Linked DNA regions of Stegostoma tigrinum. The protein of the gene in region 1 interacts with the protein of each later gene in a biochemical or structural test. Links are inferred from orthologs where the notes say so. Each region holds a gene or a part of one and is shown on either strand. Other genes may lie near its edges. The genes, in order: hltf, rad18 and ube2v2.

Evidence for each region.
Region 2: the proteins of hltf (region 1) and rad18 form a complex in vitro, tested with the Homo sapiens proteins (2 studies listed by BioGRID). The link is inferred for Stegostoma tigrinum from reciprocal best matches to the Homo sapiens genes HLTF and RAD18.
Region 3: the proteins of hltf (region 1) and ube2v2 form a complex in vitro, tested with the Homo sapiens proteins (2 studies listed by BioGRID). The link is inferred for Stegostoma tigrinum from reciprocal best matches to the Homo sapiens genes HLTF and UBE2V2.

The regions. Positions count from the first base shown.
Region 1 is NC_081367.1:68,339,062-68,346,598, reverse strand, and holds the start of hltf (helicase-like transcription factor), read right to left. Parts: upstream 3,060-7,537; 5' UTR 2,966-3,059; coding exon 2,922-2,965; intron 2,914-2,921; exon of another isoform or gene 2,807-2,913; intron 2,710-2,806; exon of another isoform or gene 2,569-2,709; intron 2,133-2,568; exon of another isoform or gene 2,023-2,132; intron 977-2,022; coding exon 748-976; intron 1-747. UniProt on the Homo sapiens protein: Has both helicase and E3 ubiquitin ligase activities. Possesses intrinsic ATP-dependent nucleosome-remodeling activity; This activity may be required for transcriptional activation or repression of specific target promoters.
Region 2 is NC_081364.1:59,459,654-59,467,060, reverse strand, and holds the start of rad18 (E3 ubiquitin-protein ligase RAD18), read right to left. Parts: upstream 3,042-7,407; 5' UTR 2,998-3,041; coding exon 2,980-2,997; intron 2,562-2,979; coding exon 2,480-2,561; intron 1-2,479. UniProt on the Homo sapiens protein: E3 ubiquitin-protein ligase involved in postreplication repair of UV-damaged DNA. Postreplication repair functions in gap-filling of a daughter strand on replication of damaged DNA.
Region 3 is NC_081358.1:72,176,543-72,183,471, forward strand, and holds the start of ube2v2 (ubiquitin-conjugating enzyme E2 variant 2), read right to left. Parts: upstream 3,050-6,929; 5' UTR 2,983-3,049; coding exon 2,967-2,982; intron 1-2,966. UniProt on the Homo sapiens protein: Has no ubiquitin ligase activity on its own. The UBE2V2/UBE2N heterodimer catalyzes the synthesis of non-canonical poly-ubiquitin chains that are linked through 'Lys-63'. This type of poly-ubiquitination does not lead to protein degradation by the proteasome.

The DNA.
Region 1 (7,537 bases):
CCCATATTCTACTTTTCCACAAACTTGACATTGTCCAAAATTCTGCTATCCCCATCCATATTCGTACAGAGTCCCACTCATCCATCACTCCAGGAAGCACGGATGTCGGGTCAAGCAACATGGCCGCTTAAAAATTCTTATCGCAATTCTCAAGAATCTCCATGGCCTGGCCCCTCCCTATCTCTATCATCAACTCCAGCCCCACAACCCTCTGGTGTACCTGCACTCATCTATTTCTGACCTCTTGAACCTATTATTTTAAATGGTGATACTTTCTTTTCAAACTTAACCTATTCGGAGATGTCAGTACTCTGGAGTAAGTGGGACTCGAACCAGGGTCGACTCGACCAGAGATAAAGGACACCATCGCTGCACTACCATAGCCCCTCCTCCCTCAATTTTAATTGGTCCACAATAGGTAGAAGTGCCTTTAGCTGTCTAAGTTTGACCATTTCTTCAGTAACCTGCCCATTACTCTTCTTCCCTTCCATCCACTGAGACACTCCTTAAAATCTACTGCTTTGGTCATCTGGCCCTATGTTGGTTTATGGGGCTAAGTATCTTTAAAATACTCCCACGACGCAACTTAGGTCTTTTTGCTGTGGGAGAGGTATTATATAAATGTACTTTTAGGTTTTTGAATCCCAACTGTTAAATCAATAATAAATAGGTAACTGAAGGTATGGCAAATTGAAGATTTAAACGCAGCTATTTAATATTACGCTAGATTGGAGGGACAAGTCTTACCACTCCTGTATAATAACGCATCCCAACCACATTCCCACGGAGGTTTCCAAATAAAACAGAATCCAGATCCTCATCTGGTGACGCAGTGTCATCTGTTAACGAACGATTTATCATCTGAGATAATGACTCTTCAGGATCCGGAGCAAATAGAAAACTGCCATCAGAAAACTGGGATGCAGTTCGTCCACCCAGATACTGGGAATTAGTCCAATTCCGCCAGAACAACATGCTGCGGGAACAAAAGAAAACCATGATTTGTAACCCTCCTCGAGAGAAATGACAAGGTATTTAAACTGACGGAAAACTCTTCTGTCCTCGAGCCTAGCAAATCTTTGTTGCTGTGCCCATCATAAACTCTCAGTTTTAAGAGCTCCTGCAAGATTAAAGAAACAGATTCCCACATATGTTTGCTTTGGAAATGCTGCATGATCCCTCACAGTAGAATGACATCTCTGAGCACACACTGTAATCAGCAAGTGGTGGCACCTATCTGACAGCTTGAGTTAGTCTTGCTTTACACATCATCTGGAAGCACAGAGCATTTTACACTTTACAAGAGAAAAAATAAACGAAGGTGCTCTGCTGTGACTTCAAATAAACCTGTTGGACTATAACTTGGAGTCGTGTGACTTCTGACTTCGTCCAAGAAAGAAAAATGGAGGGTTAAAAAACGTCTTTGTTATACTGCTTAATGGAGTGAAATTCAGCCGTTCAAAATTAGCACTTCAAGTAAGAAACTGCTACCTACTTACACTCTCCCTAATAGCATTAGAACACAATTAGCACATTGATGTAATTAGACAGAAATAGTGGAGAAACTCAGCAGGTCTGGCAGCATCTGAAGACAGAAAGAGAGTTAACATTTTGGGTTCAGTGACCCATCTTCAGAACTGGCATGTAGAATTTAGCATGCAGGTAGTTTACACAGATTGCATAACCATTATTCAGCCATGTTTTGGCATAGCATGGTATCCTGCAGATAAAACCCATTTTGCCAGGCAGTCTTACTAGTGCCTCACATACCTAGGCACGGAAAAGCTTATGTAGGAAGGGTCACCGGGCCCTAAACGTTAACTCTGACTTTTTCCTTCACAGGTGCTGCCAGATCTGCTGAGCTTTTCCAGCAATTTCTGTTTTCGTTCCTGATTTACAGCATCCGCAGTTCTTTCAGTTTTTTTTAAGTTATGTAGGTAGGTGGTCCACCGTGGAGCAGATTATCATAAACCCATCACTAGTTAACACAAGTTTTACTTGACTATTTTTCACTAAACGGACCCGATAATGTTAGCAGATTCGAACACTTTTGCTAAACAGAGACCTCCCTGAACAGTATATTTTGTTCCCTTTGAATTTGCATCTTTGACCCAGCGCCTGGATTTGATGCAGATAACAGACCGGGGAGTAAAAGGCTCCTGACTAAAAAGCAACAACATATTGAGGCTGGGAGTGACGATGAACGCTGTGTTGGTGGGTGTTTTTTCTGGAAATGTTGTCATGCACTCAAGAAAAAAACACAACAACAAAATCTCCCCTTGGCTGTGGCTGAGTATGTCAGGCCCCAAAAACAAGGCTTGCTGTTGGTGAGTCATTCTCTCCATGCCGCCTGCAGCCAGCCCCTGCTCCTGACATTTACCTGAGACTACAAACCTTTTATGCAAAAATAGGACGGCATGATGTGAAGGCAGATTGCTTTGAGCTTCCAGCACTGCATTTCTAGCCAGCGCTCTAGGTTTTGTGCAGAGCTCTGCAATAAAGCCTTCTCCAAACACTTTTCTTTTGCTGCTCTTAAACCGCAACGCGCGCAGAAAAGCTTTATTCTACCTCTGCAAATAATCTTCAGACCAAAATCAAATCTTCCCTCCTGCCAGTGACTTGCAAAGGGTATCTTTCGTATAAAAACAAAGGCCAAACATAAAGCCCGGCCACTCCACAAACCCAGCTCCTTTCACTTTCGCCCTGGCTGGCGCGGTTCCTGCTGATTGACACGGCTCTCAGCCACACAGAGCAGCCCTTCACCAGGCAGCAACGTATCAGGGCAAGGAGTGGGTGGGACACTCACCCATGGACGAGATACAACCTCTCGATACATTGTGGCGGCTGACCAGCTAGTGATCCCCATTCATGAAGACAGCATGGTACTATTCGTACAGGTGGTGCAGTGGCAGTGTCCCTACCTCTGAGCCAGGGCAAAGTCAGAAGTCACACGACACCAGGTCATGGTCCAACAGGTTTATCCGAAATCGCAAGCTTTCGAGGCATTGCCCCGACTTCACCTGACGAAGGAACAGCGCTTCAAACTTTGTGATCTCAAATGGAGAGAGTAGGAACTGCTGATGCTGGAGAATCTGAGATAACAAGGTGTAGAACTGAATGAACACAGGAGGCCAAGCAGTATCAGAGGAGCAGGAAAGCTGACGTTTCGGGTCAGGACTGAAGGGTCTTAAGGGTCCTGACGTGAAACATCAAGCCTTCCTGCTCCTCTGATGCTGCTTGGCCTGCTGTGTTCATCCAGCCTCACACCGTGGTTTCAAGTAGATTTGTTGGACTATAACTTGGTGTCGTGTCACTTCTGACTTTGTCTACCCCGGTTCAAAACCAAAACCAGCACCTCCACGTCTGAGCCAGAAGGCCTGGGTTCAAGTCTCACCTGTGCCAGAGGTGTGTAATGACATCTCTAAACAGGTTGATTGAGAAATGTTTAGATTTTCTTTTAAATTAACTAGTTCAGGGATGTTAGTACATACCTCTGGAGCAGGTGGGAATTAAACCCAGCCCTCATTAACCCAGGGGTAGGGACATTAGCATTGTGCCCCAAGAACCCCTCACCCAGAGGTAGGGGCATTACTAATATGCCTCAAGAAACCCCTTACTCAGAGACATTGACATTAGCATTGTGCACAAGAGCCCCTAACTCACAGGTAGGGACAATACCAATATGCCACAAGAACCCACTAACTCAAAGAGAGCAACATTAGCATTGTGCCACAACAGCTCCTAACCCAGAGTAGGGACATTACTAATAATGCCTTAAGAGCCCCCCCCCCCAGCTCAGAGGTAGGGACACTACAAGAGCCCGTAATTTTGGAGATATTACATTTGTTCTTTGCTTCCAGCTGTCCCCTAATTAACAGAGATGTTATGACACACTTCTGGATCTGGTGAGATTTGAACCCAAGCCTTCTAACTCAAAGGTAGAGACATTACTATTGTGCAAGAACAGGTCCCCAGTTCAGAGGTAGGGATATGTCTATTACATCAAAAGAGCCCTTAAAATTGGAAATATTACTTTTGATCTAAATTCAGTTCTGAGGAAGGCATACCGGACTTGAAAAGTTAACTCTGGTTTGTCCTGTATAAAAACAAGCAAAGCTGGAAATATTCTGCTGGCGCAGCAGACAGAAACAAGAATTTCAATGTGCTTCAGATCTGCAACTTTTCATAAAATGTTAACTCATGTTTCCCTCAATCTGCAGATACTGCTTTGTTGAGCATCTCTTGCAATTTCTGTTATTACTTCAGATTTCCAGCGTGTGTCACTTTCATATTTTAGATATTAATTTTATTTAATCTCAGGGATCTTATTTCTCCTGCTCCATGCTGCAGAATGCCCTGGACGTTTTTCCCAATGTCATTTTTAGGCACACAAGCAGAGATAAAAACCGATTCTGATTTCCACAAGTGGGTTCCAATTCGTTCATCAAAGTTTAAAATACTCTTGTTCAACATAATGGTGGTTGAATTACACCTGAGTTCAGTAAACACTCTCATTAACACAATTAACAAATTGGGTCACCTTACCTCAACTGGTAATGTTATTGCTCCCTGATAAATTTTACTTTTTTGTACGCTGTTTGACATTTTTGATACACTAGTGCCTGTTGAAATTTAACTAATTTTGAGTTATATTTACTCCAAGAATTTGCCTTTATTTGCGCTAATTGTCATTGGATATTTCCAATCAATTTCCTATCAACAGGCCCATGAATAACAGTAACCTAGCATGGTGGGAAAATTGCTCAGTTGTGTGTGATAGGACTTCAGGGTGTAAAAATAAAAGCACACTAGCAGCTTAAAGCAGCCAGTATTGCAGATAGTGCAAGGTCTTTCATTCAAGTGACAGCTTGTTTGTCATTCAAATAGGTACAGGAGTACTTGCAATGCTGAATAAACGACATCTCTTCCCAAAAAGAGAAGAGAATTCATAGATTATAGACAAACCAAGTGTACCGGAAGCTGGATATTTAAAGGTCTTGAGTAGATTGCAGCTCAATGCTGTGGTTGGTTGGCTCACCGAGCTGGTTCGTTAATTTGCAGATGTTTCATTACCCCGCTGGGTAACATCTTCAGTGCAGCCTCCGACAAAGTATTGTTGTGTCTTTCCTCCTGTTATTTAAACTCTGGGGTCCATTGGAGTTGATTACCTCATTTCTGGTTTTTCTTTGCAGTGATGCGCTTCTAGAGTCTAATTCTAGATGTTTATTGAGTACCCATTATGGACAGGGCCAACGTAATATACAAGATTTCATGCAAGGGCTGTGACAAACATTACATTGGACAGACAGGAAGGAAACTGGCTATGAGAATACATGAACACCAAGCAACAACAAAAAAAACACAACCAATACTCACTCGTCTCCATACATGCAGACAAGGAAAACCACCAGTTTGATGGGAAAATGTCAGGATCCTAGGACAAGCCAAACAAGAAGGCCATCAATAAGCACACAGAATTGGACCCTATGTACACACCACTGCAAAGAAAAACCTGAGGTGAGGTAATCAACTCCAGCGGTCCCCAGAGTTTAAATATTTAAGTGGGAAAACATAACACTTCATCGGAGGCTGTACTGATGATGCTATCCAGCAGGCTAATGAAACATCTGTGATTTAACAAACCAACCACAACAGGAAGCTGGGATAGATTGTGAAGTTTTTTTTTACATGGTTTGGACTTTCAAACCCAAACTTCCATCACAAATACAGGAAATGCTGGCAGTCAAGGTGCCAGAAAGTCATATCGATACTTCTTCAATACACAACCCTCGGGCTGGCTGTAAGCGGGTTTCCGCCCAGAGCTTTGTCACCTCTACGGTCTTGGCTTCCACTGTTCTCTGTTGTCTGTCAGGCCCAATTTCTCCAGCTATGGGTCAATCTAAAATGACCAATTTTGGGCCCGTGGTCATGATCACAAAAGGGAATTGGAACTTTAAAAAACCTTGAATTTTCAAAGAGAGAAGGAGATCAAAAAGCATGATCTGGATAGAGTGAAGCTTATTGTAAAAGGAGGGAAGAACAGATAGTCGCTCAGAGAATAATTCTGATACCTATGAAGGATTTGATTTTACCGTAAATCTGGTGTGGTGCCTAAATTCACTGATGCTGGTTTTAAATACATTTCACATCATTTTAAAAGATTGCTGGGAAGCTGAAATGGTCGAACCATATTTGGACCTTAATCTTCTTGGCTGTTCTTAAGTTTTTATTCATACTTCATCCAGCATAATTGCCTATCGATTTCACTTGACAAAGGAGCAGCATTCTGAAAGCTTGTGATTTTAAATAAATCTGTTGGACTATAACCTGGCATCATGAGATTTCTGACATTGTTCACCCCTGTCCAACATCCATGTCCCTACATCATCTCAATTGTAAGAGCTATTATGGATGGAGAATAAATGCCAGTCTGCACCACAAAACATGAACAAAAACATCTATTAATAATTGCTTACAGAACTCAAGGATTTTTAAAAAAGAGACTCAGAGCCAAAGCTATTTGTCTTTCACTGATTAGGACTGGTACACAAGATACCAAAAGGAACATCAATTTATACTACTTCTATAAAAGCTTTTGTTTATATTTCTATACTTGTATAAAGAGAGTGTTGATTGGTTGCATCTTAGTGGGTGTGGACATGCAGCAGGAAATGTTAACTGTCGATCTTTGTTAGCTAACTAAACTCATACCGGTAGATTTACTCAGACTGCCATGAGGAATGCAGGGAGGGGTTGTCGGTCTCCATTTTTCTCTTCAGTGAAAAATGTACAATATAAAAACAAATTCCTTTTCCTATTAAAAAAGGATCCAATCAATTTGTATATATTTTCTCAAGCTTTGTGAATTAATACTTGCTTTCTAATAAGGGTTTCCTGCATAATTTACAATCAAGTATTTTAATTATCAACACAAACATAAATATATCACCAAGATAACTGGGAAATTTATTTCCTGTAATTAAACATATTTCAAATGAGGCTTAAAGTAGACAATCCAGAACAGACATAAGTGTTCTAAATGAAGTCACACGTCCACACAGCTAGAATTTCAACATTAAAGCTGCAGTACTGGATTTTAGATGTTCACTTTTAGTAACAAGTTGCATCCATTTAAAACGGACTTTCTTGCAGATGTCAAACTTGGGCGGTCTTCACTAAATCCATCGGTCTGTCTTGATTAAAAAATGAAAATGAAATTGAATCAATTTAAAATTATCAGATAGTACATATTTACACTTTACACAACAAACTTCTGCTGCTTTATGTCTCCAGCTGAAGTAATGTTTTAATTCAATTGTTACTCCTTTTCATATCTATGGAAACAGTTTGTTTTCATTTCCTCTAACAAAACCCTTCAAATTCTGACAACTTCTAGTAAATCTACTTAACTAGAAGGAAACAGTATCTGCTTCTCACACCTCATCTCACATATCAATGTGAGGAAATGGCCTAATGGTATAAATACAGGACTGTTAATCCAAAGACAAAAGCAGAAGTTGCTAGAAAAGCTCAGTAG
Region 2 (7,407 bases), on another chromosome or scaffold:
CTAATCTACAATAGGTCTGCTTTAGGTTATGGTTGTGTGGCTGAAGTGGGCATCAATTATTTCCATTGCTAACTTACGTCTGTTGTCTTGGGCATATTTAATTTCAGTGTTATTTAATGTTTTCCTTCTGCATTATGGGTTTAAGTTTCACAGGGTTGACGACTATTGAGAATATTGCTGAATTGTTCTAATTCTAAGTCCAAATAATTTAATGAGAATGAAAATGCAACTTCTGAAAATCAAGAAGTAACCCCAGAAAAACAAACAGTAACGATCAAGAGGTGCCCTCAAAAGAAATGTTGTACCCTGCTGTGACTAAAAGTGAACTGTTCATTATATCTCGCAGAGCAGGAGCACTGACTCACCATACCATCAAACCATCAAGCGTTTCAAACTCGCTTCACTAACTAACTCCATGATAGTAAAATGGTAGTTTTCTGAGTTTTTAACATCTCTCAGCCTCCATACTACCTTTCCCTCATATTATGAAGTTTTTTTGTGTTTGCCAAACACTTCTTCGGGGATGTAACCTAGTGACTTAGGGAAGCCCCGTGCTGATGGTGTCCAGCGCAATCTTCCTTCTCTGCCTTCACTTTCCCTTATCTCAATACAAGAAAATTCTAGGGTCGGCGGAGAGCATCATTTGCTGGACCCCCCTATCCTTGTGGGCACCTGCTTCATGTTGTTGTCGCTACAGAATGTTGCTTTAATGGATTAGCAACCATTGTTGTCCAACTGCAGTGCGTTCAGACTGAGGATGCTTAGGGGTCAGATGTTGGTCAAAGGTAAATTGTAACATCCCATTGGTGATCACTGGCTGAACTTGGGCATCTGAATGATATGGAAGTAGCTGCAGTGTTATCATGAAATGTCCATACTGGCTGAAGGGAACAACTGCTCACGCTACCTCCACAGGTCCTGGGTGCGAGGCACACATTGCGTCGTCTGTCATGTTTGTGTGACAATGCTGTGGTCTGAATGCTGTGTTTAGTTGAGTGTTTAATGGGGGTGCAGAGTTGGCTAGGTGTCGGAGCAGCTGCAGATATTTCCTTGTCAATGACATGGGGTAACCACTCATCAAGTTGCTGCCCAGATTAAACCTGAAAGTGGATAGATGGTGGAGATATGTCGCTCATTATTGGGTGCAGTGTATGCAGCCATCATCTGCAGGGAATTGCACCAATGACGGCCAAGCTCCGATACAATGCTGCCTGCATTTCCCCACCGTGGATCAAAAGGTGGAGCTACTGAAAAGGTGGTTCTGCTGCTTGGACCAGTCAGGGAATAACTCTCCAGTCTAGTCCAAACAGAGTCTGTCCCATCATCCTGCGCTCTGCACAACTGCAGTGGGCAACAAGACCAGAACAAGGCCATAAGCTGGATGCTGAGGAACTGGGGGAATAGGTGAAACCTTCTGAAGAGGACAACATGGGGGAGTAGGAAACTGATGCTCTCCATGATGGAGCTCAGCTGCGTTTGGTGTAACGAGCCAGACAGAACCTGCCTGACACCTAGTTCCAGTAGACGAAAGTTGGGTGAATTAGACAATGGCCAATTTCAAACTATTTTGGTCATATTGTTGAAAACTGGTTGGCATCGTAGGAGCTCAGCCTTCAGTTTTGTCCCCTTTTGCTTTTTGTAAATAATGACTCTATTAAAGCTCAGGGTTTGACTTTGTATTCATCCAGTTGCTCGCCTGTTTGTGACGTTTCACAACTGGGCAATGCCAAGATTCAGTTCTACTGTGGGCACCAGAGTAGGGCAACACTGACGTTAGTCATGGCATTCAGGCAGGAGGTAGCTACGGGCAGGAAAAGTGTGTAGCATGGTAGTTAAGCAGCGCCAGAGATGACAGATTGTCGATGTACAAGGGAGGGTCAGCCATGCCAGCCTTGTGCCAAGAGCAGTGTAGCTGCTGTGCCATTGCACTGCCAGAGACAGTCAAATACTTGTCTGGTCCTTTAGAGACGGTGCAGGCACCAGCAATGCTGGAGTGTCAGTGGAAGTCCACCGAGTAGCAAGTTGCTGTGGAAACAGCGGGCGGCAAGTTTGGGGTGGAAATTGGAAAATGGCAAAGGAGCAGGGTAGGTGGTTGACAAGGCAGCTTTGTAAGACAGTGAGAAATCTCACAAGGTTCCATGACGAGTAACCCTCCAAAAGGCAAAACTCAACGCAACTCTGACATAGCCAAATTCAGCCAACTGTTTCTGCTCAGATCTTATTGGTGCTGCCTGCCACGTCTACTGTTGCATTATATCACACAAGTCTGTCTTGTCCCACACACATACAGTCATCGTAGGCCATCTGCAGCCACAGTGCACACCAACAATCATCTGAAACATACCTGCCTAAATCAATGCTCGTTACATGTTACACAGGGAGCAGTTTAAAACTTCTTTCACAACTCTACAGAAATGTGCTGCACTGGTGAAAACATCTCAGCCAGCAGTATTAGGATGGTGGCATGCAGAATACTTACAATTATGCGAACAGTGAGGGATCATCATGGCAATATTGAAGTATTCAAAACAGATACCACAGCGTAAGAGGTTATCCATGGCCTGGAAGAGAAAGACGATTCGTCAAGTCCAAACTTGCCATCCTAAACAGAGTTGTCACCTTAACCCAGACTATACATTGCCAATCCAAATCAAGTGTAGGCCTGTGGAGATGGGTAATCAAGATTTCCGCTAATCATTTTACTGTACTGACTAAGAGCAGAACACAGATCCTATGGGATCAAAATGGAAAGCGCGCGCAATCCACTCAGCACCTCACAATTAATCAGTATAAATCTTGTCTGAACTTCAGTTGTTGTTACATCAGAAAATAGGTCAGTTAACCATCCTCATCCACAAACACCTTCCCCCCCCCATACTCTCTTTCTCATCCTAAGTCTTTCCCGCACTGGCATTCAGCACGGGGCACCCCTTCCTCTGTCGTTCCCTCCCTCAGTTTCAATCTCTCCCTCTCTCTCACCTTCAGTCTCTCCCACATTTTTCTCGAATTCAGAGCAAAACGCGCGCGCTGGCTACAGCCGGAAGCACGTCATCAGCAGCTGAGCGCGAGCGCTTTCCGGTTAGTTGCCACGGGGGATCCCGATTCCCAGAATAGCCTGCACCCTACGCCGCCCTCCCCAGCTTCCCGACAGACGGCGCGCTGCACCCTCCAATCCGTACCCCCGACAAACTGCAGCAGCTTCCCCCATCAAACCATGCAAACTCTCCCAATAAACCCCGCATCATGCAAACTGCACTCCGCTATCAAACCATGCAAACACCCTGAAACCACCCCCTGCATCATGTAAATTGGACCTCCCCCAAAACTCCCCTGCATCATGAAAACTAGACAGCGTCAATCAAACCATGCAAACTCCCCTGAAACCCCCCTGCATGATGCAAACTACACTCCCCATCAAACCAAGCAAACTGCCCCCACCCCAAAACTCTCCCATTAAACCATGCAAACACCCCTGAATCATGCAAACTCCCCAATAACTCCTGCATCATGCAAGCTATAGCCCCCAAATCAAACCATGCGAACTCCCTCGAAACCTCCTGCATCATGCAAACTACACCCCCTTCAAACCATGCAAACTTCCCCCAAAGCCCACTGCACCATGCAAACTGCAGCCCCCATCAAACCATGCAAACTCCCCTGAAGCCCTCTGCATCATGCAAACTACACCAGCCATCAAACCATGCAAACTCCCCCAATAACCCCTGCATCATGCAAACTACAGCTCCCCCATCAAACCATGCAAACTCCCCTGAAATCTCCCCTGCATCATGTAAACTACACCCCCATCAAACCATGAAAACTGCCCCCACCCCGAAACCTCCCCCCCACATCATGCGAACTAAACCCCGATCCCCCAAACTGCATCCTTCTAATTGCAACTCTGAAACCTGGCACCATGCAAAACTGCATTCCCCAAAGAGTGTTAATGGGAACTGCAGATGCTGGAGAATCCAAGACAACAAAATGTGAGGCTGGATGAACACAGCAGGCCCAGCAGCATCTCAGGAGCACAAAAGCTGACGTTTTGGGCCTAAACCTCTCTGATGAAGGGTCTAGGCCCAAAACGTCAGCTTTTGTGCTCTGAGATGCTGCTGGGCCTGCTGTGTTCATCCAGCCTAACATTTTGTTCCCCAAACAGTGTACTCTTCAAACTTGCATCGCTTAAACAATGCACCGTACAATCTGCAACTTTCGCTCCTAAACGCTGAAAGCTTTTCTCCCCACACCGGACACTATGCAACCTTTCACTGCACTGCGCAGCATGTAAACTTCACTGCTCACGATTGCCATAGTGCAACCTTATTTGCCCACGTTGGCGTCATTCAATCTTCACATCTTGCACGGGGCAATCTTCAGGTTTTTTTTAGATTGGGTACTGTGCAAGCTCCACTCCCTTACTTAGTCAATGTGCAACTTTCATCCCTTTGCATTGGGCTCTGTGCAATCTTCACTTCCTGCACTTGGCAGCGTATAACCTTCATGTCTGGGATCATTGTGTAACTTTGGCTGTCCACTTTTACATCTTGTATCCTTTGCTTCCCAAGTGGGTACCTTCACGACACTGCACTGCACATAATCACCACTATGCAAGCTTGACTACCAGTGCTATGCAACTTTCACTTCCCTGTTCTGTCCACCTTCCAAATTTTATTTCCTTGCATTGATCACCATGCAACTGTGACTCCTTGCATTGGGCTCTGTACAATATTCACACACCTGCACTGGGCAACATGCAGCCTTTGTCCCCCTGCATTGGGCAGTATGGAACATTCACTACCCACAATCCTCACTGTGCAAGCTCAACTCCCCAGTTTGGCACCCTGCAAACTTCACTGACTGTTTGTGCACTATGCAATCTTCAATTCCCTGCACTGAGTACCATGCAATCTTAATTTCTTGTATAGGGCACCTTACAGTTTTCATTTCCCCAGTACTGGGCATCAAACAACCTTCACTACATGAGCAGCTGTACAACCTTCATTCTCCTGAATTGGGTACTGTGTGAAGCCTCACTCCCATTCATTGGTCACCATGCTTGATTTTGGAATTATTGCCATCTGCTACTATGCACAGTCCTAAATTCAAAAAATGAATTGAAGGAGAATGGCCAATCAACATTTCCATCCCATCAGCACACAACAACAAAAGATCAGAATAAAGCGAAGAATAGCCCTTCAAGAAAAACTGTCCAAAATCACCTACATCAATACACAGACAACAGATTCATGGGTTAAGAACATCTCAGACCAACTATTTACAGATACTGAGAAGACCGTCCTAGTACGTGGACTGAAACATAACTACAGAGATGCCAAAAAAGACTGGCTTCCTGGCTGGGCTGGAATCAACACTAAAGAACAACGGACTCACAGAAAAAATACAACAGACTGTCAGACAGACAAGAGTCCCAACCCTGAACAAAAAGGAAAATGGAACACACAAGAGAGGAAAGCCCTGGAAAGGCTCAAGAAAGGCAGGAACATTGTAATCTTACCAGCAGACAAAGGATGCATGACAGTAATCTTTAATACAACTCAATACATCGAGAAAGTTAATGCATTACTAGCAGATACCAACACCTATCAACAGATGGCGACAGAACTGCCACCACAATTAGGAGGTAGGAGGAACTGCAGATGCTGGACAGTCTGAGATAACAAGATGTAGAGCTGGATGAACACAGCAGGCCAAACAGCATCAGAGGAGCAGAAAGGCTGACGTTTTGGGCCATTTCTGAAGAAGGGTCTAGGCCTGAAACGTCAACCTTCCTGTTCCTCTGTTGCTGCTTGGCCTGCTGTGTTCATCCAGCTCAACACCTGGTTACCACAATTAGGAAACCAGATTACACCAAACCTGAAGAACTTATCCAACTCAGGAGACATCAGCAAGACACACAACCAAAAAAATGAAGCCAGAGGGATCCAACACACCCCGATACTACAGATTCAACCAAGGTACACAAGCCGGGGGTCCCCCTCAGACCCGTCACTGCCAGGTACACCAACATATAGACTTGAAATACTTAGTGGACAACAATACCCTCTCATTTACTCATCCCAAGAATTCTTCAACATCTCGAAGGTCACCAGGATAGATGAGTATGAGATGATGATATTGTCCAACATAACAGCACTATTTACATCCATAAACATCGACCTAGCCAAAGAAACAATTGCCACACTGCTGGATGAATCAAGTAAGCAGGCAACCCAGGACACCAACAACATCAATGAGGACACCACCATGAAACTACTGGATCTGTGCCTCACAACCCACTTTACCTTCAATGACAACATATACAAACAAATCAACGGAACACCAATGGGATCCCCAATGTCAGGACTGATTGCAGGAGCAGTAATGCAAAGGTTAGAATGGACAGCGCTCACCATTATATAACCCAAACTTTAGGTCCCAAATGTAGGTGTTATTATTATCAAGCATACTAAACTGGAAGAAACCCACGAACACTTAATCAACACCCTCCCTGTGACAAAATCCATGAAAGAAGAAGAGAGCAACAATCAACCACCCTTCCTGCATATAATGGCAGAACACAAAAACAAGGGGGAACTCCAGATTAGTGTATATAGAAAGACCACACATACAGGCCAAATACTCATTTACACTAGCAACAACCCCAACATTCACAAACGGAGCTGCATCAGGACACTATTTAAGTGAGCCACAATACATTGCAGCAACCCTACATGAAGGAGCTACATGAAGCAGAACAGGAACACATATATGAACTCTTAAAAAAAATACCCAAAAAGCACATTACCATTACCTCCAAAACAGGTGACAACAGGTAGACACAACATGACCAGAATCATTTATCACCCTCTCATACATCTGGGACATTTCAGAGCAGCCCACAAGACTACTCAGACCCCCAGGTATCAGAACTGCCCATAAACTGACAACCACCCAACAACAGCCACTGACAAACGTGAAGGATTCCATACCCAAAACTAGCAAGCTGGGGTAATATACAAAGTACCATGCAAGGACTGTGAGAAACACCACATGGGCCAAATCCGAAAAAAATTTACTGTATAGATACATTAATACCAACTAGCCACCAAGAGATACGACCAACCCTCAAGTGTCACGCCATACACGGACAACGAGGGATACGAATTCAAATGGGACAACACATTGATAGTTGCACAAGCCAGAGACACACCAGGGAATTCCCAGAGACCTGGAATTCCAACCGGAACTCCATTAACAAACACACTGAATTAGTCCCTGTGTACAAACCACCGAGAAACAAAACTGAAAGTAATACCAACCACCCCAGCAAACTGAGACATAGAAATAACAGGTGGGGCAGAACACCGATGCTTCATGGGAGGCGCACTGACAATGTTACCTAGCAGG
Region 3 (6,929 bases), on another chromosome or scaffold:
CAAGGGTTAAGTTTGAGATTATGGACAAATCTGGCCTTTGTTTCTAGAATTTAGAAATATTAAAGGGTTATTGGAACAAAGTTTTCAAGATATAAATGGGAAATGGCAAGTCAGAAGATGAAGTATTTCCACTATTTGAGGATTCTAGAACTAGGGTCAGGCTACTCAGGAGAGACGTTAGGAAGCACTTCCATACACAAAGGATGCATAAACAGCAGTGGATATTGGATCAAATGTTAATTTTAAGTCTGAATTGGAGTAATTTTTGTTAGGCAAAGGTATTAAAAGATTTTGGCCAAAGGTAGATACATGGAAGTAAGCTGCAGATCAATTATCATCTCACTGAATGGTAAGTCCCAAGGGTTTGAATGGCCTAATCCTCTTCCTGTGGTCCAAATGCATGAGCCAAAAACTTTGGTATGCATGTACAGCAAAGTACGTAAGACTAATCAAATGCTATCCTTGTTTGAAGAGAAGAATGTTCTGTTTCAGTTATGTAGGGAACTGGTGATCTTGAATACTGAGCTAAACCAAAAACCTCACTGGAAATCTGAAACCAAAACAAATTGCTAGAGAAACTCAACAGGTCTGGCAGCATCTGGAGAGATGCAGAGTTAGAGGTTTGGGTCCAGTGACCCTTCGTCAGAATGGGACCTACATCACTAGATCACAAGTATGAATTCTGTTTTCTCTTCACAGATGCTGCCAGACCATTAGGTTCTCCTGCTGAGTCGTCTGAGCAATTTGTTTTTGTTCGTGAAAGTTGAGAGTAGTTTTGGTATCATATTTAAAGAACAATGTAAATGCATCAGAAATAGCTCAGACATCGCTTACTAGATTGGGTCTTGGAATGAATGAGTTGTCTTACAAGGAAAGGTTGGGCAGATTGGACTGGTTTCAACTAAAGTTTAGAAGAGCAACGGCTGAATTGATTGAAGGCTACGAGATTCTGAACAGTCTTTTTGAGGTATGTTTCCTCTGATGAGTCAGAACTAGGAGGTATTTTTTAAAAATTAAGTCATCTGTCTTTTAGGACAGATGAGGGCACTTTTCTTCAAAGAAGTGTGGAAATGCAAAGCTCCCTTCTTCAGAAAGTGATGGAGTGAAGATCATTGAATATCTTTTGAGGCAGAGGTAGATTCTTGTAAGGCAAATGAATCAAAGATGATTGTGGATAAATGGGAATGTGGAAGTTGAAACAAACAGATTAGCCATAACTTTGTAATAATGGTTGGGCTCAAGGGAGCTAAAATGATTCGAATTCATGTTTTCACACACAACCTTTTTAACCCAGGAATTAACCTAATCAATGATTTCTGAACTATGTTAAATGCAAGTATATTCCTACTTAAACAGGGACTCCAAATCCATATGCAATAGCCCATGAGAGATCTCATCAATGCCCTGTATTGATGGAGCAGGCTTTCACTTTCAGATTCCAGTTTCCTTTACAATGATGTCAAAAAACATTTGGGTGCTGCTTTTTTATTTTGTTTTTTTATTTTTCATCTGCCACTTTGTTACCTATTCAAACTATATTTTTGCAGCCGCTTTGTATTGGGTCAGTTTACGTTCCCACCTCTAAACTCTCCTGTCAACAACTTTAAATATATTACACTCAGATTCCATCTAAATCATTAACACAGATTGTAAGTAGTGAGTGCTTAGCACAGGCACATGCCATACCAGCAGTCAGTCTGTCAACTTGAAAAAACCCCGTTTATGCCAAAGCCATATTTCCTGCCCATTACCCAACCCTTCAACCATGCTAGTGTATGACCCCCAGCTCCATGAACCCTTATCTTGTATTTTTTTGTGCAAGTGATCTCTTTTCAAATACGCTGTTCGAAAGTCACTTTTGTTCCATGTCAATGGTTCCAATACATATTTTTCTCTGCCTTTTATCGAGTTTGTGATCCTGCACTCAAGTCAAAGTATACGTTATTTGCCAGTTCTATGCATTCTTTACTTAGACAAAAGAGTGAATCATTTAGCAGAACGTTTGAAACTTGAACAGTTTGGTGGGCGATACAAATAGAAACGTTCGAATCTACTGAAGAGGTGCCGCTACAGATATATCACAAAGGTATCATTTTCAAAAAAAGTCGAAATGAAATTTGACCGTTTCATACTGCTCAAAGCTGACCAGAGGTAAACCATTTGTTCCCAATCATCTGTGAGAATCATGCGTATATCAATAAATCTCAAAATGCCCCATAACAACGAACAAAGAAAAGGAGAAACATTACGATTAAATGATAGTCAGTTATTCGCTCTCAATTCCCGAATCCTAAAAATCAAACACAGCAGCTCAAAATAAAATGCTGTCAAATACGTTCGGACTAAGAATAACTCAGCTAACTTCCTCTTTGCCACAGCTGCATTTGGAAATTGCACATCGCTGTCACAGGAGTTTGTAAATAAAGTCTACCTCTAAGACACCTTATAGAAGAAAAACAAAAAGAATCTACAACACAAAACGAAAAGTCAACACGGAAAATATTTTCTTCAGATGTGGTTCGAAAGACACGAGTTAAAAGAGACTTTCATGTAAATAACACAAGGACATACAGGCTACTATATGAATCACAAACGCATTGAACAAGAAAACTACCCCTGCTCCCAAAGACACACATTTTAAAGGTCATATACAAAGTCTCTGCCACACCACCAGCCAAACAGGCAGAAATAAAAACCAACTGCCGTTCAGAGGGACTGGAAACAGCACAAACTGGAGGCCGCCCAGGTACGGTTCCTCGGGCCGGCCCAAACCCTCATAAAGTGAACACCCCCCGCCCCTCCAATCCCACCGGAGTGGGCCGCGGCTTTCCGGTCATAGCCCGGCCTAAGAGCCGGGGTGACCCAGGGCAGTATCTAACCGCGCTCCTCGCCTTCCTCCCGGATCACTCGGACCTGGGGCCTCAGCCTCCCCTCTCCCCCCCCGGACACCCGCAGCTCACTCAGACCTCGGCAGCCTGTCATCTTGCTCCAAACGAAAGGAACCGGCGCCGACTCGGCCGCTCTCTCGTCACTTCCGGTCTGGTGTGGCACCACGTGCGCATGTGCGTCTGCTTTCCTGCTGCTTCGCTCACGGACAATGTGTAATCTCCACACCTGTAGTGTTCATACTCACCTCCTCCTTCATAAAGTCGGCACAACTCCATCGTCAAGTACTTTAGAATCTTTCTCATTCTCTTCAAAACTTATCATCTAACCCTCCTGGAGTCTCCAGTAATTGAAAATCAATCCTCAGAACACCGCTGTGCTCAAAATTGGAAAAAAATCATGAAGGGGAATTTTCATGTAATGTTATTTTCATGTAATATTTCCCTTCAGCAGATACATAGGATACTGAAATACGGAGAGGGAGAAAGACTGAGGGGTGAGAGTCAAGCATTATCCAATTTCACAATGAGACTTGGCTTTTCAACTGGCATAACAAGACAGTACAACACAAGGATAGATGTATAGGCTAATTAATGAGACCATAAGATGCCAGAGCAGGATTGTCCATAGTGGCCCATCTGAACTGATGTGTGATTCAATGAAACTATTGTTGGTGATAATACTCAACTCCACTTTCCTACTTTATCCCCATTAGCGTTGAGTTCCTTACTGATTAAACGTCTATCTCAGCCTTGAATGTAATTAATTGATCCTTCACAACTACCTTCTTTGGTAAACAATTGCACAGACAAGGAAAAACATACTCCACATCATCGTCACGATTCTACTTGCTGCAGATATATTTGTCTAGTACAACAATATCAGTAAGAGAGTTTATTATACTGTCTTTGTGACGAAGTCCGGACTTCATGTTAAGAATACCCTATAACCATTCGAAATAGAACTGAGTTTGAATGAATCTGTGAGGTATAGTTGGCCAGCAGCAGCAACAGAATCATTCTCCAACATAATCTGCAACTTGTCATATCTTCCCACCCCCCACTTAAGCATTCAAGTGAAGGGATCCAAAGAAGATTGCAGGAAAACATGCGAGGAGAACACCAGGCATACGTGAAAATGAGGTGTCAACCTGGTGAAGCCTCAAAACAGGACTACTTGTGGGTCAAACAGCGTAAGTGGCAAGTGATAGATAAAGTTAGTGATTCCACAACACCAGATCAGATCTAAGCTTTACAGTGCTGTCACAGACAGTGGTCAGTGTTGGTAGACAATTAACTCATTGGAGGAGGGTCCACGGATATCCCTGTTCACAATAATGGGAGAACCCGATTTGTCAGGCAAAAGACAAGGCTGAACCATTCACAAGACTCTTCAGCCAGAAGTGGGTGATCTATGTCGGCCTCTTCCCTAGCATCACAGATATCAGGCTTTAGCCAATTTGATTTATTCCACTTAATATGAAGAAACAGGTGGAGACTCAGGGAAACTTCAACTGATTTTGGCACTAACAACATTCTGGTGCTAGTACCAAAGACTTGTGCTCCAGAACTTAGAGCATCTCTGGACAAGCTGACCCAATAATGTGTAAAATTGCCCGGGTACATCCTATACACAAAAAGCATATCCGAGCTGGTTGATTACCTCCTCAACTCCACTCAATCATCAGGAAAGTGTCAGCAACAGTGGTATCACACAGAACCTGTTTAGCAATAACCTGCTCACTGGCTCCCATTTCAGGTTCCATTTGGGCCACTCAGCTCATTACAACCTTAATTCATGCATGAACAAAAGAGACAAATTCCAGAGGGGAGGTGAAAATTACTGTCCTTGAGATTAAGGTCATATTTGACTGATGTGTTGTATAAAGGACAAAACTAAAGTCATGGATATGGGCAAATCAATCATCCAATAAAAGAGGAAAAAACCAAGAAGATTTGAGATAAGGTGGAGGGCTGGAAAGATCAAATGATAAATAAAATTCACAGTCCAAGCAGTGGCAATGGGACACGTTTAGAAACAACTTCAATACGATTATGGTTCATTTGAGCAAACTTCCAGTACTGTCTAGAGTTCTACCACCACTTACAGTCACTGGAAAAGGTGAAAAAAATCAGTTTTCCCAATAGCAGAGCATAGTTGTATCAGAAAAGACAGAATAGTCTGGGTCTCCTTTCTCTAGAAAACAGAGGCTGAGGGGTAACCAATTAAAGGTCTTTAAAGTTACAAAGGGCTTAATATAGATTGGAGAAAGTGTTTCCAGTTATGGGGAGATTTAAAACCAGGGGTCATAAAACTAGATGGTTTGTAAATGAGTATTGCAGTTGACAATTGAACTTTGAACACTAAGACCAACGTCCACTTTTGACAAGCTAATAACTGGACAGAGAGTGAAAACAGCCCTGGTCCGAAGCTTCTAAAACTGCTCTTAAAAACAAGCAGAGAACAAAAGACTAATGTTTGCTTTTGGAAACTGCTAAGATAATTCAGTTTAATCACTGTTCTGAGGACACTACGGATGATTTGGCAGTGAAATGTTACTATGCTCAGGGACTGGCAGCTGGTTGAATGATGAATTGGTCAATCAAGGGAGAACTAGGGTGGCCAGTCAACCACCAGGAAATCAAAGAATAAACTGTTCTGACGAAGGGTCACCAGACTCAAAACATTATCTGTGATTTCTCATTAACTGTGATGCTGCCAGACCTGCTTAGCTTTTCCAGCAATCTGTTTTTATTTCTGATTTACAACATCTGCAGTTCTTTCAGTTTTTAATGAAATGATTCTGCCTGAGCTTTTGGACAAGAGGCAGTTTTGGTTTAGAAGCTTCTGGACTGGGGCTGCTTTCAATCTCTACACTTATTGTCCAGTTTTTAAACTTGCTGCAAGTTCTAAGACCAGTGACCTCAGAATTCAAGAAAGATGTACACTATATTGTCTGTAACACAACCTGTCATCATGAAGGGCAGGAGAGGCTGAATAACGTTTTTCCCTATGGTGGGGGAGTCCAAAACTAGAGGACATGCTTTTAAAGTAATGGGGAAAAGATACAAAAAGGACCTGCAGGGCATCTTTCATGCAGAGGGTGGTGCATAAGTGGAATGAGCTGCCACAGGAAGTAGTGGGAGGCAGGTACAATTACATTTAAAAGGCATCAGCATGGACATATGAATAGAAAGGATTCAGAGGGATCTAGGTCAAATAAGACTAGATCAGTTTAGGAGGGCAAGTTAGTCCAAAGGGTTTGTTTCCATTCTGTATAACTCTACTCAAGGAATTAATAAATGCTTGGTATTCGTTGTTGAAAGAAATTGAACTGGCAAATTACAGTTTTTTTTAAAGTTTATTCCTTATTGCTGTGTGTGACAATGCGCCTTATAGAACATAGAACAGTACAGCACAGAAGAGGCCCTTCAGCCCACAATGTTGTGCCGACCATTGATCCTCATGTATGCACCCTCAAATTTCTGTGACCATATGCATGTCCAGCAGTCTCTTAAATGACCCCAATGACCTTGCTTCCACAACTGCTGCTGGCAACGCATTCCATGCTCTCACAACTCTCTGTGTAAAGAACCCGCCTCTGACATCCCCTCTATACTTTCCACCAACCAGCTTAAAACTATGACCCCTCGTGCTAGCCATTTCTGCCCTGGGAAATAGTCTCTGGCTATCAACTCTATCTATGCCTTTCATAAGATTGGGATTAGATTGTTGATACTAGATTGCTTGGCAGTTTGTGTTCTGCTAAAGTTACACTTTTAGTAAATTTATCAGTTTTCTTTTAAGTGATAACCTAGGTGTCCAAGATTTGTTTGTAAAGTGTGATTAGGAACAACTAAGCAATTGAGAGCCATTGAGTAAAAAATTTCACAATGTTGTGAATCCAGTGATACAGAGACTGATTTAGTTTGGCTGCCATCCCTATACCCTAACAACAACTAATACATTCAGCTGATGAAACAGCAATGCTCCAAAAACTTGTGATTTCAAATAAATGTGTTGACTATAAACTGGTGTTGTGT